Arabidopsis thaliana: one gene and its partners. The protein of the gene in region 2 interacts with the protein of the main gene of each other region in a pairwise test. Each region holds a gene or a part of one and is shown on either strand. Other genes may lie near its edges.

Evidence for each region.
Region 1: the proteins of AT1G01910 (region 2) and AT5G05670 interact in a two-hybrid assay, tested with the Arabidopsis thaliana proteins (one large-scale study listed by BioGRID).
Region 3: the proteins of AT1G01910 (region 2) and TI1 interact in a two-hybrid assay, tested with the Arabidopsis thaliana proteins (one large-scale study listed by BioGRID).

Annotation. Positions count from the first base shown.
Region 1 is NC_003076.8:1,695,165-1,699,733, forward strand, and holds AT5G05670 (signal recognition particle binding protein), read right to left. Parts: upstream 3,028-4,569; 5' UTR 2,859-3,027; intron 2,413-2,858; 5' UTR 2,371-2,412; coding exon 2,229-2,370; intron 1,876-2,228; coding exon 1,793-1,875; intron 1,635-1,792; coding exon 1,548-1,634; intron 1,443-1,547; coding exon 1,294-1,442; intron 1,169-1,293; coding exon 1,037-1,168; intron 966-1,036; coding exon of another isoform or gene 942-965; coding exon 752-941; coding exon of another isoform or gene 734-751; 3' UTR 553-733; downstream 1-552. Other genes in the region: NF-X1-type zinc finger protein NFXL2, read right to left, coding at 1-309; AT5G05675 (uncharacterized protein), read left to right, coding at 734-803, 814-965; MOS7 (nuclear pore complex protein-like protein), read left to right, coding at 3,201-3,488, 3,815-3,966, 4,092-4,214, 4,463-4,569.
Region 2 is NC_003070.9:312,626-318,111, forward strand, and holds AT1G01910 (P-loop containing nucleoside triphosphate hydrolases superfamily protein), read right to left. Parts: upstream 3,466-5,486; 5' UTR 3,207-3,465; coding exon 2,952-3,206; intron 2,391-2,951; coding exon 2,266-2,390; intron 2,178-2,265; coding exon 2,027-2,177; intron 1,927-2,026; coding exon 1,816-1,926; exon of another isoform or gene 1,601-1,815; coding exon 1,462-1,600; intron 1,371-1,461; coding exon 1,255-1,370; coding exon of another isoform or gene 1,247-1,254; intron 1,135-1,246; coding exon 970-1,134; 3' UTR 529-969; downstream 1-528. Other genes in the region: SBTI1.1 (subtilase family protein), read left to right, coding at 1-386; AT1G01920 (SET domain-containing protein), read left to right, coding at 3,579-3,632, 3,719-3,815, 3,914-4,088, 4,167-4,272, 4,383-4,465, 4,542-4,568, 4,669-4,831, 4,936-5,017 and 2 more. UniProt on the Arabidopsis thaliana protein: ATPase required for the post-translational delivery of tail-anchored (TA) proteins to the endoplasmic reticulum. Recognizes and selectively binds the transmembrane domain of TA proteins in the cytosol.
Region 3 is NC_003071.7:18,065,192-18,068,412, reverse strand, and holds TI1 (trypsin inhibitor protein 1), read right to left. Parts: upstream 1,454-3,221; 5' UTR 1,203-1,453; coding exon 1,142-1,202; intron 1,002-1,141; coding exon 793-1,001; 3' UTR 553-792; downstream 1-552. Other genes in the region: AT2G43500 (Plant regulator RWP-RK family protein), read right to left, coding at 1,963-2,573, 2,644-3,000, 3,048-3,207.

The DNA.
Region 1 (4,569 bases), on a different chromosome or scaffold from region 2:
GCAGGACCATGTAGGATCGGTTCGTTTAATGCGTTCGAGACAGATAAGGCACGAGACAGCACCGGAAGAAGACGAGGCGAGAAAAGATTGGATCTTAGCGAGATCGATTGAGGAAGGGGACGAAGATGAGTGGCAATCGAGGTAAGCTTCGAAGATGGAGTTTGATAGATCATTGTGACGGTGCTGATGATTCTCTGAATCAGATCCGGAGTCTGAATCTGAATCTGAAATGGGTTGCTCTTGTGACGGAGGCTGTGGTGGTGATTTCCACCGGAACTCGGTGGTGGCGGTTCCGGCCATATTAGTCATTCTTCTTCTTCATCTCCTTCTTAAGGACAAAGTCCAGAAATTTGGGGGGGAATAAGAAGAAGAAGAAGACACGTGATGCTCTCGTGAGCATTGTAATGACCAAATTACCGGTTTAATTTGGATTTACCGGCTTAGTTAAGACAGTTTCTAGCTTATCCCCAAGGACTTCTCGCGTTATCTTCTCGAAGTTGATAAGCACGATCACTTATCTATGATTATCCTCTTTTCCTTTTTTGCAAGAGAATTAAGTCATTTAACATTTCCTTAAAATCATTCCGATTTAAAACAGATTATCTAACTCGAAAATACAGCTACTCAGTTTTGAACACCCTAAATCATCCAAAGATCTCATATACAAAAGGATCTCTAAACTCAAATCAAAGTCACAGCCCAAAGCATAAGAAACTTGTGGTAGATTCAATCTATGAAGGCATGTTGGAGCTCATGGCTTGATGTATTCTCGAATGAAGTCTTCAATCTGGATGGTTTCTCCGGTAAGTCCAGATGCCTCAGCGACAGTGACTTTGTTGGAGCAATGCGTGAAGGAGAACACTTCTCCCTCAATTCCAATGGTGAAGTCATTCGCTATATCAGCAGTAGAGACTGCACTCCTTGAAGCCCTCAGTTTCTCACTGCAAAAACTCATCAACCAATGATGATTAGCTTTTATGCAGGAAGATAGGCTTTATATATAAGAAAATTTTGTCAAGAAAACTGAAATTCTTACATTTCTTTCTCCATTTGCTTCCGGATAAACTCCTTGGTGTGTGCAGTGAGTTTATCGGTCTTGTTACAGCAAAGGAGGACTGGAATCTTCTTCTTGACAACATTCGCATTGGTCAGAATCTCGTATAGGTACCTATCACCATAAAAAACCATGGCAATGCCTCATTTTCAACATTGAGATGCAAACATATGCAAACATGTCTCTTATCTGTGTCTTACAATGCGTGTGTGTGGAAGAGAGAGGGTGTTTGAAATTACTCTGAAGCTGCACGACAGTTTGGGAGGAACTCCAAGGCATCCACTACGAACACAATGGCAGCTGCTTGGGGCAAGAATTCTTCTAGCTTGGGTCGAAGCCGAGAGTGCCCAGGAACATCAACAAGATGAACAGGCTTGATTTTTCCTTTCTGTCACAAAGAGCAAGCACGGGACATGGTTTAGTAATATGTTATTCCATCCATCACAATCAACTGCACGTGTTGTTTACAACAGAACACAGTAAGATTCTTTACCTTAGTATTTTCACTGTGAAGAACAAAAGTGCCTTCATTTGGTTCCATTGATGTTACAGTGCCCTGATGCGACGATCCATCTCGGAGCTGCCAATCAAACAATTATCGTGTTATAACTCTCCAACAATGACCTAGTCACTCACACTGACTCACAATAGTGACACATTACAAAAAAAAAGTACATTTGAAGGAAAGTCATAAACAATATTCATATGAAAAAGGTAACGTCAAGCCAAAACACTCACTTGGTAAAAGAGCACAGTCTTTCCACTTCCGGTCAGCCCAGAAAGGAGTACAGTGTTGGATTTGGTACGTCTGACCAGGCGAACTGCATACCCCAGCAAGAACAACAAGTTTAGCAACAAAAGATCAAAAGTTTGTTTATGTATAATCAAAGAAAAATCATGAATAAACCTCAGAAATTGCAATAATAGTTCTAATTCCAATACACAAAATACTCTGGCTTAATCACAAGTCTAAAATGGTACCATGAGAACTATAACCTCTGCAGTTGTAAACAATAGCAGGCAGAAGAAAAGTAATTGAAGACATTTAGAAGAAGAACAGGCTATATGTCCTTATCAATGGCAAACAAGATACTACCAGGGGGAGATCTTACATAAATAAAGCAATTCTACTAGGAAAGGATTAAGAAACAACAAAGTGGTGTCTAATACATACTGGATAGGAAGAGCAAGATGGTTGTAAACAACAAAACACCAATGGCGGCATACAGCTGATTCGGTGGTATCTTCTGAAGATATTCAATTCCTTGATGCGACCACTGCTCAGCCAGAATTTTCAGATCTTCCAAGTTCTCCATTACTCTCTCAAGTTTCACTTCTTCTGCCAAGCTGTTCAAAACCTGCATCCAGAGATGTAATTCATTCCTCTTAAGACATAAAAATAACCTAGAGTTAACTAGAAAACTCTCTTCTCCTACACAAACAACATGCATGGGAATAATTTAAAACTGCTTCCTGAAAACAAAAATTGAAATCGGAACTCTCTAATATTTGCAAACATTATATCAATACTGGTTCTCACATTATCATGTTCATCCTTGTGATAAACCCAGTACAGTGACAATAATCATCTTGTGAACAAGGAACACAATTTGTTTATCCCAATTTAAAACCAGTTTTACCAGATCAATACAACCCGTAGACCCATACACGATCATCCCAAGTTATGAAAAGATAAATGCTAATCCTACATTGATGCGCTGTTTCAACGAGATGTAAAAAAATACAAACAGATTCCTCTAAAATTCCAGATAATGAATATAGACAAACAAGAGCTAAAATTTACCCAAGAGTAAATGAATCCATTTGGTGGAAGAGATAGAAACGCACCGATGGGAGAGGAGGCGGAAGACGAATACAACGACGGTGGAAGCGGAGAAGAACACGGCGACGATGATTTAGGGTTCAGATTTAATTTTATATATTAAAACCAGTTAGTGCTTCTTCATTTCAATTTGTTTCGAAGATAGTTAATGGGCCGAATAAAAGCCCATTAAACGTCAATACGAAGTCGTTTCAACTGTATCTGCTTCATCGCTTCTTTTCTCCCTTCTCTTCCCGCCGTGAATCTGGTGTCTGTGTCTGCATCTCCTTCCGACGAAAACAGATACACTCGAGTGAAGAAAGTATGAAATTTAACTTTAACGAGACAGAGGATGCACCAGATTCACGACGATCTCCGACGCCCAAAGAGCCGGTTAGGTGGGTTCCTCTCCAGAGCCACCCGGTTTTCGCTTCTCTTCCTTCCTCCCAAGATGAACCCGCCGTGTCGCAGCTGTTTCCGAGAAATTTCATGGCTTGGGACGGAGACTCGCGCGTATACTACTGGGATTCGAGACGATATCTCCTTCACCGATTATCTCTGCGCTTGGGTGAACCTGAACCATCCTCCGTCCTCGCCGCAGTCCCGTCCAAGGTCATTTACTCTCTCTCTCTCTCTCTCTCTCTCTCTTTCTGTTTTCACCGCTAAGTCGGCCAAAATGAGTATTGAAAAGAAGATTTATCGAAAGCTCTTTTTTAGTGCTGACATTTTACTGACTTTGAGAAATTAGGTTTAGGAAGAGTTTGAGAAATTAGATTTCTTACTGATGGATGATAATAGGAAGATCTTTTCTACTTGCTATGTACTACTGTCAAAAACCTTTAGTTTTCCTCTGTTGTCTTTGCTACATAAGATAAATTATAGGTGATTGATTCATCATGTAGTGATTGACTAAGCTTTACTAATAAATGATATTATAGGTGATGCAACCAGACCTTCAGGTGACATTTTCTGTTAGCAAAATCTCCATCAATAAGTCTGGATCAGCTGTACTTCTTGCCGGCTCAGATGGGATATGTGTGATGTACCTATTTGGACGTGCTTCTGTGATAGAAGACAATGTCATTTGCAGGTAGTGATTAACGTTACCCTAATAAGATGCATTTATATTCATTGTTATCTTGATTATGATGTTATCTTGCTTAAATTAATGGCCTTCTGCTTATACGTTATCACTTCATAATCTATGTGTTGCAGGGTAGTTTCTATTGGTTCAGAAATCTATACTAGTAGTGACAGTGCCATAACCTTGCTACAAGCATCGTGGCACCCTGATAGTGACACCCATTTGGGAATTCTATCCTCGGATGCAGTTTTCAGGTAACAATCTTTTCGGCTGATAGTGAAGGTGGATGTACATGTCAATATATTGATCAATATCATTATGGAAAGATGTTAGAGAAATTGTAGAAAAAATCAGTTCCTAAGGTTGTAGATTGTTAGTTTCTGCCATGCAATGACTTACTATGTTACCATCTGGTCCAGTCTCTCATTATAAAGAATCAAATCGTTTTATTTAATCCTGATTTAAGAGCTTTTTAGCTTACTAAAAGATATTTGTATGCTAGGCTTTTCGATTTGTCTTCAGATACTGAGCTACCAGAGCAAGAATATTATCTGCAGCCCGGTGAGCCAGGAAGATCTAGAACAGCTTCATCAATTTATCCTGCTGATT
Region 2 (5,486 bases):
GTGAGAGAATACTCTTGTTCTCCGGCACTAACTACACGTGTGCTAGTAACGCCGTCGTTTTGAGTCCCGGTGATTTGAACTATCCCTCGTTCGCGGTCAACCTCGTTAATGGCGCGAATTTGAAAACGGTGAGATATAAGAGGACTGTGACTAACGTTGGGTCACCGACTTGTGAGTATATGGTGCACGTTGAGGAACCAAAAGGTGTGAAGGTGAGAGTTGAACCAAAGGTGCTCAAGTTCCAGAAGGCCAGAGAGAGGTTGAGTTATACGGTGACGTATGATGCAGAAGCTTCGAGAAATTCGTCTTCGTCTTCCTTTGGAGTTTTGGTTTGGATATGTGACAAATACAACGTCAGAAGCCCAATCGCCGTGACGTGGGAATAAATTTCGCATCTATTGATTGCCATTTTCATATTTATTATATACCAAAGAAACTTATTGAACAAAAGCTTACCCTAAACTTGTAAGAATTTGTCAATAAATCAAAACATCTCTTATTTACTATAATTTTTTTACATGAATTTTCCTTCTCTGTTGCAAGACCAGTCTACAGTATATAAAAAGCTGTTACAAGAGATCATAGCATTCGCTTGTCACAGATACCCTTCAACTTAATATATAAAAAGCTGATTAAGTCGTAAAACAACGATTTCTTGGTAGATATGAGTCTATGTAGTCATGATTATTACAAATATAAAAACAAATCCAATGCATAACAATAAAACAACGCAAAAGAAGATTCTGCTTGATCTTCTTTCCTGTCCTATAAAGAGTTGTTGCTAGATGAAGAACTAGAGAGAAAAAGATTCAGTTTTAATTTTCCACCTATAAATTGTTCAAAACATAAACAACAATAAACCCAAATGACAACGCAGATCCAGAAGACCCCCATGTAGAAAGCAAGTGAGTTCCAAGAATATGGCGAGGAAAGAAACTTACAATTAAAGGGAAGAACAGAGCCTTATCTTTAGCCACTCTTGACCCGTTCGAGTTCTTCTTCAGCTGTTTTTAACTGCAAACGCAATGTGTGTACTTTCCTCTCCAGCTCCTCTACATTGCTCCTGCTAGTGGTAGGATGGTACGGCGTCAAGAACTTATGTGAAAACGCCTTTAAGGCTTCAACCCCTGTCACCTGTGATCCAAACATCCACAACAAGTGTAAATCTCAGGATGTATATTATATAAGGCTTTAGTTTCATTTTCGTCTTGATCATGTTCCTTCTCATCTATATTGAATGTCATGCGTTCTTACCTCTTCCGGAAGCAGAGGAAGCTTTGTGATATTAAAGTCATCGTATAGCATATAAAACTGATCAAGATACTTCTGTTGCATCCGCATCCTTGCTCTGAGCAACTTGGACTCCACATCTACAGAAGACAAGTGTAGATAATTCGTCAAATTTGTATGTAAAACAAGTTCAAAACGAGAAGATAGACACGACAGCAAATAAATAGGCACCTTCGTCGTCGTATAGTACTTGGTTGATGATAATGTTATGCGTGTCAATCTCAAACTTGGCGAGTTCCTGAACAAGTCTCTCTGTTTCATAGAGAGACAAGAACTCGGGGATGCAGACACAAACGAACGTAGTCATATCCTACGTAATGGAGCCAAATGTGTCAATTTCTTATCTTAAAATGCAGAGTTTGTTAGATATGTATCAGAATTTTCACTAATGCAAATGAATGCTGTCAAACCGTATGCTACAGAACAATGTGAAGAATCTAAAACTAAACTTCACGAACAGAGTTAAGAAAACAGTCAATGAGTACTGAAAATAGCAAAGAACTTAAACAATTGAAAAAATGTTACCGGGTCTTTGAATTGCCGATTTACTTGCTCAATCACATCTTTCAAGCCCTCAAGTCTTCCCAGCAAAGCATCCTCTCCGAACTCATCCTCCATGCCAAACATACGGCTCATCTGCATTACCAATCAGTTCCATGAAAAATCAGCCAAAGAAGAAACCAAAGAGCAATATCTGTTGCCAAGCAAACTGAATTTGACAAGCTTAAAGACATGCCTGAGTCATCAAGCCACCAAATCTACTCTTCAATGACATCAACTTCGAAAGTCCCTTTTCTAGTGTGGCCGGAAACTGTAACAGGCGGAGAGTATGTCCAGTAGGAGCAGTGTCAAACACAATAGTAGCATAATCCATTGTTTGCACCAACCTAAGGAAACATAAACATATCAAAATTTGACTGTGATAATACATGGATAAAGGCAGATGATTACTAGAAGAACTAAATGGCTATTTACTTCAACATCTCAGCAAAACTCATAGCCTCATCGATTCCAGGAATCGCATTTGCCAAATCAGAGAATAAACCATCCATCCCGTCTGTACCAGCCATGTCATCAGTTTCAACGGTAGGATCTACCTCCTGAGAAAAGCAAACAAGATTCACTCACTATCAAGAGGGAAGGAGTGTGAATCGTAACCATTTGCTTATAGTATGTGTATATATATACATATACACACAGACACAACTAAGAGCTTCAAGCTTAGAAGAGTAGCCATAAAGTCATCATCAAGCCTGTCTATTAGAGGCGACCCAGAACCACAAAAAACAACTTTTTTTTTTTTTTTTGAATTTGGCATAACTAGCCATGAATTTTAACTACAATAGACAAAAATTCGATTTGATTTGGGGACATCAAATCTTCTTCACAATCCCCTTCCGTATCAAGAATACAAATTGGCGTCCAAATTCCAAACCTAATCCCCAAAATCAGAGTGGGCATATGATAAGAAAGGCACAAATCAACCGTATTTATGCAAGTACTAAATCTGACTTCAAAATCAAAATTGATCCATCAATCTGCGGTTTGAAATTCGTGAATCAGAGAACCCTAATTCCCAATGAGATTAAAATCCAGGAGCGAAACTACCAAATTCCCTCTAAAATCTAGCACGATCTAGAACAAAATCGGAGAAAGCTTACCATGGCAAAGAGATTAGAGAAACCTTGAACCAAAGTGGGAGATTTAGTGAAGCGTTGCTGAAAGGCATCACTAAGATTGTGAGCAGGATCGGTGGAGATGATGAGAACGGAGGATCGAACACTGGCGAGACAAATTGCGAGAATTGAACTGCATGTCGTCTTCCCAACACCTCCTTTACCTCCGACGAAAACCCATTTAAGAGACTCTTGGTCCAGAATGTTCTGTACTGTCGCCTCCGGCAAATCCGCCGCCATTGCTAATTCCTTGCTCGTCTCTCTTCCACTAGTCTCAATCTAAAGAGCTCCTTGTTAGATATTTGGCGTACGGAAGAGTTTAACTGCGGCGAGAGACTTTTAACGCCGCCCGGTTCAATATTTTGGTTCTCGGTTTTGGGATATCACAGCAGTCTTGGTTTGATTTTTTTGGTTATCGTTTTTCACTTGTTCAATTTTTCTTTTTTTGTTAAAAATTTAAATTTGGTGTGTTTAAGTTCATAAACGCTAAATAAGCCCATACAAAAGCCCACATAGATGAAGCCATTACGACAGCGTATTGTGAGTTACGATTGAAAACCCCTCTCTACTCGGTTAAACCCGTCGCCGGCATATTGATCTTCGCCGGAGGATATGGCGATTTCAGAAGAAGAAGCCAAACTCGAAAGGTTCCTAGATTGGCTTCAGGTTAGATCCGGATTAAGTGTTGTTTTTCAGTCCTGATCTGCTGCTCTATATCATGGCATTTTGTGTTTCGATCTAATTTCATTCAGGTGAATGGAGGTGAATTAAGAGGCTGCAACATCAAATATTCTGACTCCCTAAAAGGATTTGGCATATTCGCTTCCACCTCCACTCAAGCTTCCGATGGTATAGTATTGTTCTTACCATTTCTTGCTGGGTTTTTTTCCGGGGAATATGTATGGAAAGTTGATATTGAATTCTGATTCAGCTCTGGAAATTTTCAGAAGTTTTGCTTGTTGTTCCGCTTGATCTGGCCATTACCCCTATGAGAGTTCTTCAGGACCCTCTCCTGGGCCCTGAGTGTCAGAAAATGTTCGAACAAGGACAAGTTGATGACCGCTTTCTCATGATTCTGTTCCTCACTTTGGAGCGTCTTCGTATCAATTCTTCTTGGAAGCCGTAAGTTTTTTTTTTAATCTCTTAGCACACATTTACGTAAGCTTAAGGGTATTCATCTGTCTAGAAATGATATGATAGGTATCTTGATATGCTTCCTACTCGATTTGGCAATCCTCTTTGGTTTTCTGATGATGACATCCTTGAGCTAAAAGGGACTAACTTGTATCACGCAACCGAGTTACAGGTCTCAATCTTGATCATTTATTCCTGTCTTATCATATCGTCCTTAAAATAGCAACCACATTTTCTCTTTTCATTTATTAAACCCAATAACCATCGTGTATTCATTCTCAGAAGAAGAAGTTGCTCTCGCTTTACCATGACAAGGTGGAGGTCCTGGTGACAAAGCTTCTTATTTTGGATGGCGATTCCGAAAGGTTGACATATTTACACTACTTTTAGACCAAATTATTGTTCATTGATAATCATATTTTGTTTTCTCTCTTCGTGCAGCAAGGTCTCCTTTGAACACTTCCTCTGGTATGTTTGGTACTGGTGTTATTCCTTGTTAGTAGAACCAGACTTTTGTGTCTTGTAAAGGGCTGCTTAGTGATCTTGCGACTTTTTTCAATTATGCCAGGGCAAACTCTGTATTCTGGAGTCGCGCCTTGAATATTCCTCTTCCACATTCTTTCGTGTTTCCACAAAGCCAAGATGATACCGGGGAATGCACATCAACAAGTGAGTCCCCTGAAACGGCTCCAGTTAATTCTAATGAGGAAAAAGGCAAGTCATTAACGTCGGTCTGCTGAATTCTGTGTGAAATGCCTCTTTTTTAATTATTATTATTCTATCATGTAACGACAATTTCATGGGTTTCTTCATTTTCTGATGGGTAGAAATTCAGGCTCAACCTGCGCCATCTGTAGGATCCGGAGATACAATATGGGTTGAGGGGCTTGTTCCTGGCATTGACTTTTGCAACCATGGTATGCCAATCTTTGTTTCAAAAAGACTCTATTATCAGTTTCTCCGTTCCATAATGTTGATATGGTTAATGAGTATATCCCAGTGTGATGTGATATAATGACCTATGGTTATGGCAGTATAGATTTGAAGCCTGTGGCGACTTGGGAAGTTGATGGGATCGGATCAGTATCTAGGGTTCCTTTCTCCATGTACCTTCTCTCTGGTTGGCCAAATATTTGTTTGTGTTACCTCTCAGCTTTCTACAATTTTTCAATCAAACAATACAGAACATTCTTTTTCCTCTCTTCTTTTTGATCTGTATGCGGAAAACTAAGTGCTACAATTCTGTAAAGCAGTTGCTCAACGTCCTATCCCAAAGAAGGAGATCTCGATCAGTTATGGTAACAAAGGAAATGAGGTAAGATGTTTTGCAGCTATCTTGTACAACTATATAACTTGTCTCTTGGTAAAAAATCACATCTAGCCCTT
Region 3 (3,221 bases), on a different chromosome or scaffold from region 2:
AACCACTTGCCTCTTTATATCCCTGATATAATAGCACGGTGGTAAAATAAATCATGATTCATGAAAAACCTGAAATAATTGTTTTTTTTTTAATATACATTTCTATATAATTGCATGAGAAAGTTTTTATACTAAATCCTACTTTCCAATGTATATGAGCAGTACCAAAAAACTTATGTGAGTCCTTACCAAAAAGGACTTATTAATTGTATATTTTTGTTAAAATCATATTGTAAAACTATTATTATTTTTTCATTTTAATATTATTTAAAATAAATTATATAATAAAGAAATAGAATAACAGATAATGATTTTCTTAAGCATCATAATTTTATGCTTCCAAATTTTAAAACTATCATAATTTACTCTAATAACCGTACATGTGAAAATATTAAACACGTCACATCCAGAGCTCATTTAAAATCTTATGTTGACATTTCATCACATTCAGACTTCGTCTTTGACCGGCTAGATTAGCCGCAAAACAGTCGGAACGCTCTCCACATAGTAAACAGATAAGAATATGTGGATACCAAATTCACAACAACAATGAGGCAACCAAACTCGCACGTTTCTTCTTTCTTAGTCAAATTGTATTACCAAAACATGATTGTAGTAGCAAAAGTCACACTTTCATTATTTCTGATTTCACATTACATCACTTGGATAGACCATTCACATTCATTTATTACACAAACCATGACTAAAACTTGTGAATGTACGTAAAGACAACGTGTATAATAATTGCGTCTATGGCAGCCTTAGTGCATTGATTAGCGATTGCTTTAGATTTTACTGTGGAGTATCGTCGCAGAAGTCGCATAAGCATTTGACGTTACTGCCCTGTCCCCAACGGCATCTTCCACCTTTAGCTCCCTTGTTCTCACGGCATCTTGTGTAACAAATCGTCGGAAATATCCGAGGCGCACAAAAGCCGAAACCAACATCACCTCCGTATTCTTTCAAGCACTCGTTACCTTGCGCTTCTATCTCCGGCACATCTGTTATAAACAAAATTAAGAAAAGATAGAATGATCATATCATGATTTTGCTATGGTCAAAGAGATTTGTAGCCAGAACATAAGGGTAAATTTTAAGTTATAAACAAATATGTCAAGAAACGGAGAGTAAGTTTGCTTACCGGAAATGACTAAGAAGAAGATGAAAAAGACAACGAAGATGGAAACGATAGCCTTTGCCATTTTCTCTTTGTTTATCTAACTTTAGGTTTGTTGATATGTGTTTAACACTGGTGTTGGTGAATATTTATAATTATCTTTAGGACCAAACCGATTGGTTTGATGATATAGAACCGAACCATAACAAAACGAAACCAATCGGATTGAATTAATAAAATTTTTAAATTTCAACTATTAGACTGAGTTTTTTGACCTTGATTCGTTTCCCAATATCGATATCGAACCCTTTCAAATATGAAAATTCTGTCTTCGCATCTTCTCCCTCTTTTAGGCACATCATAAGATATGGATATGAACTTTGCCGTTAAAAAAAGAAAAAGATATGGATATGGACGTTAAACTGATAAGGGGGAAAAAACCCAATGATGAACACAATTATAGGCCCAAGCCCAACTAAAATCAAGTCCTCGTTGACTTAAAAACCAACCAATTAAACCGAAATTTAGTTGACTTTGTTGGTTTCCACAGGAATGGAGAGATAACAAAGAATACGATTCTGCATCACAGGGATAACTAAAAGTGTTCTCTTTTCTTATATGAAAGATGGGTGAGCAGGTACAACATTAGCAACGTAGATATAACATCCAACTTTTATTCTCTGATTCATATAAAACGAAAAAACATATACATTTTCTGCTGAACTCCACTATACCAAAATTGTCTTTCTCCTTCATGCCTATTTATAAGCATACTAATATCTAGAGAAATAAACAACATTCTTTCACTGGGAATACATAACTGTGTGTGTCTATGTCTTACGACGTCATAAGCCTGTTCCAAGATAACCATTACTGCCACCAGAACTACCTAGAGGGGCAGACAAATCACGAACGAGAAACTTCACCGAGTGTTTTCCCATACCATGTAATATCTCCAAACATTCTTGGAGATCAGAATCTGTAACCAGCATCACCCATTCTTCTTCATCATCCAAGTACTTCAGCTGAAACGACCCGTCCTGCAGTTTAAAACGTTTTCCAACTTCTTTGTAGAGCTGAGGACACCCAACTGATGGCTCGAACTTGAAACGTACAGTGTCTTCTCTATAACTGGCCTTTACGATCAGCGTTGTTGATCCACTCTCGCTGCTATTACTGTTGTGGGTTCTCATTTGGTTCCAATCTTCCATGGAAGTAGATGAGCTTCCACGCAGAACTGCGCCTGAGCCATTTGATGAATCTGATATGCTGCATGACATGGATTGGTTAGGTTCAACAATACTGCCACTGCATCGGATTGTTGGATCCATTCCATCTGAAATTTCCACAGAGCTTAAGTTGCAAACGCTCTTTATTCCTTCACTGCCATTCAAGCCAGACTCTTTGGCCATCCAAGCCCATGGCTGACCACTAGCATTAACCTCCATGAATGATCCTGCAAAAACTGAAAATGGATTAAGATTCTAATCGCTCCATCTATGGTTTATGGATAGAGAAGTTCTTACCTGGTCTTGCTTGATTCATGGTTGTATCCTCCTCTAACTTAATGGCATTGTCGACAGATTTAGCTTCCTGGAGCTTGAATGAAGTATCGTCAGGCATATCCTCCTGACTTCTTCTTGCATGTGCATCATTATCAAGAGACGACAGACCCTTTTGGGTATCAATTTCTTGAATAAAAGGTCTAACTGCAATGAATTCGCCAGTTGCTGAGTCGAACTTTAGTCCTCCTTCTACACCTTGGACCGAGTCCAGTACCGTCTGTATTTTCCTTAGTGACCTGTTCACTTTGTTAATCTTACGAGATGGCCACCTCATGATCCCATGTTGCCTGCATATCCGTTTCAATGTAGTTGGACAAACTGCAGAAGAAAATCCAAGTCGAGGGTCAGATAGTTTGTGTGCTAACAAAAATAAACCCATGCTTGGAAATATGCGGAAGTCTCACCACCAAGGCTTTTTGCAGCATCCTTTAGACTCCCAGAGAAGTGTTGTTGGAGAGCGCTTAAGCTCACATTTTTCTCTGTAGTGCTTTTCTTCTTCTCTGGTGTTCTTGCTTTGCTCACATCCTATGAAAAGTTGT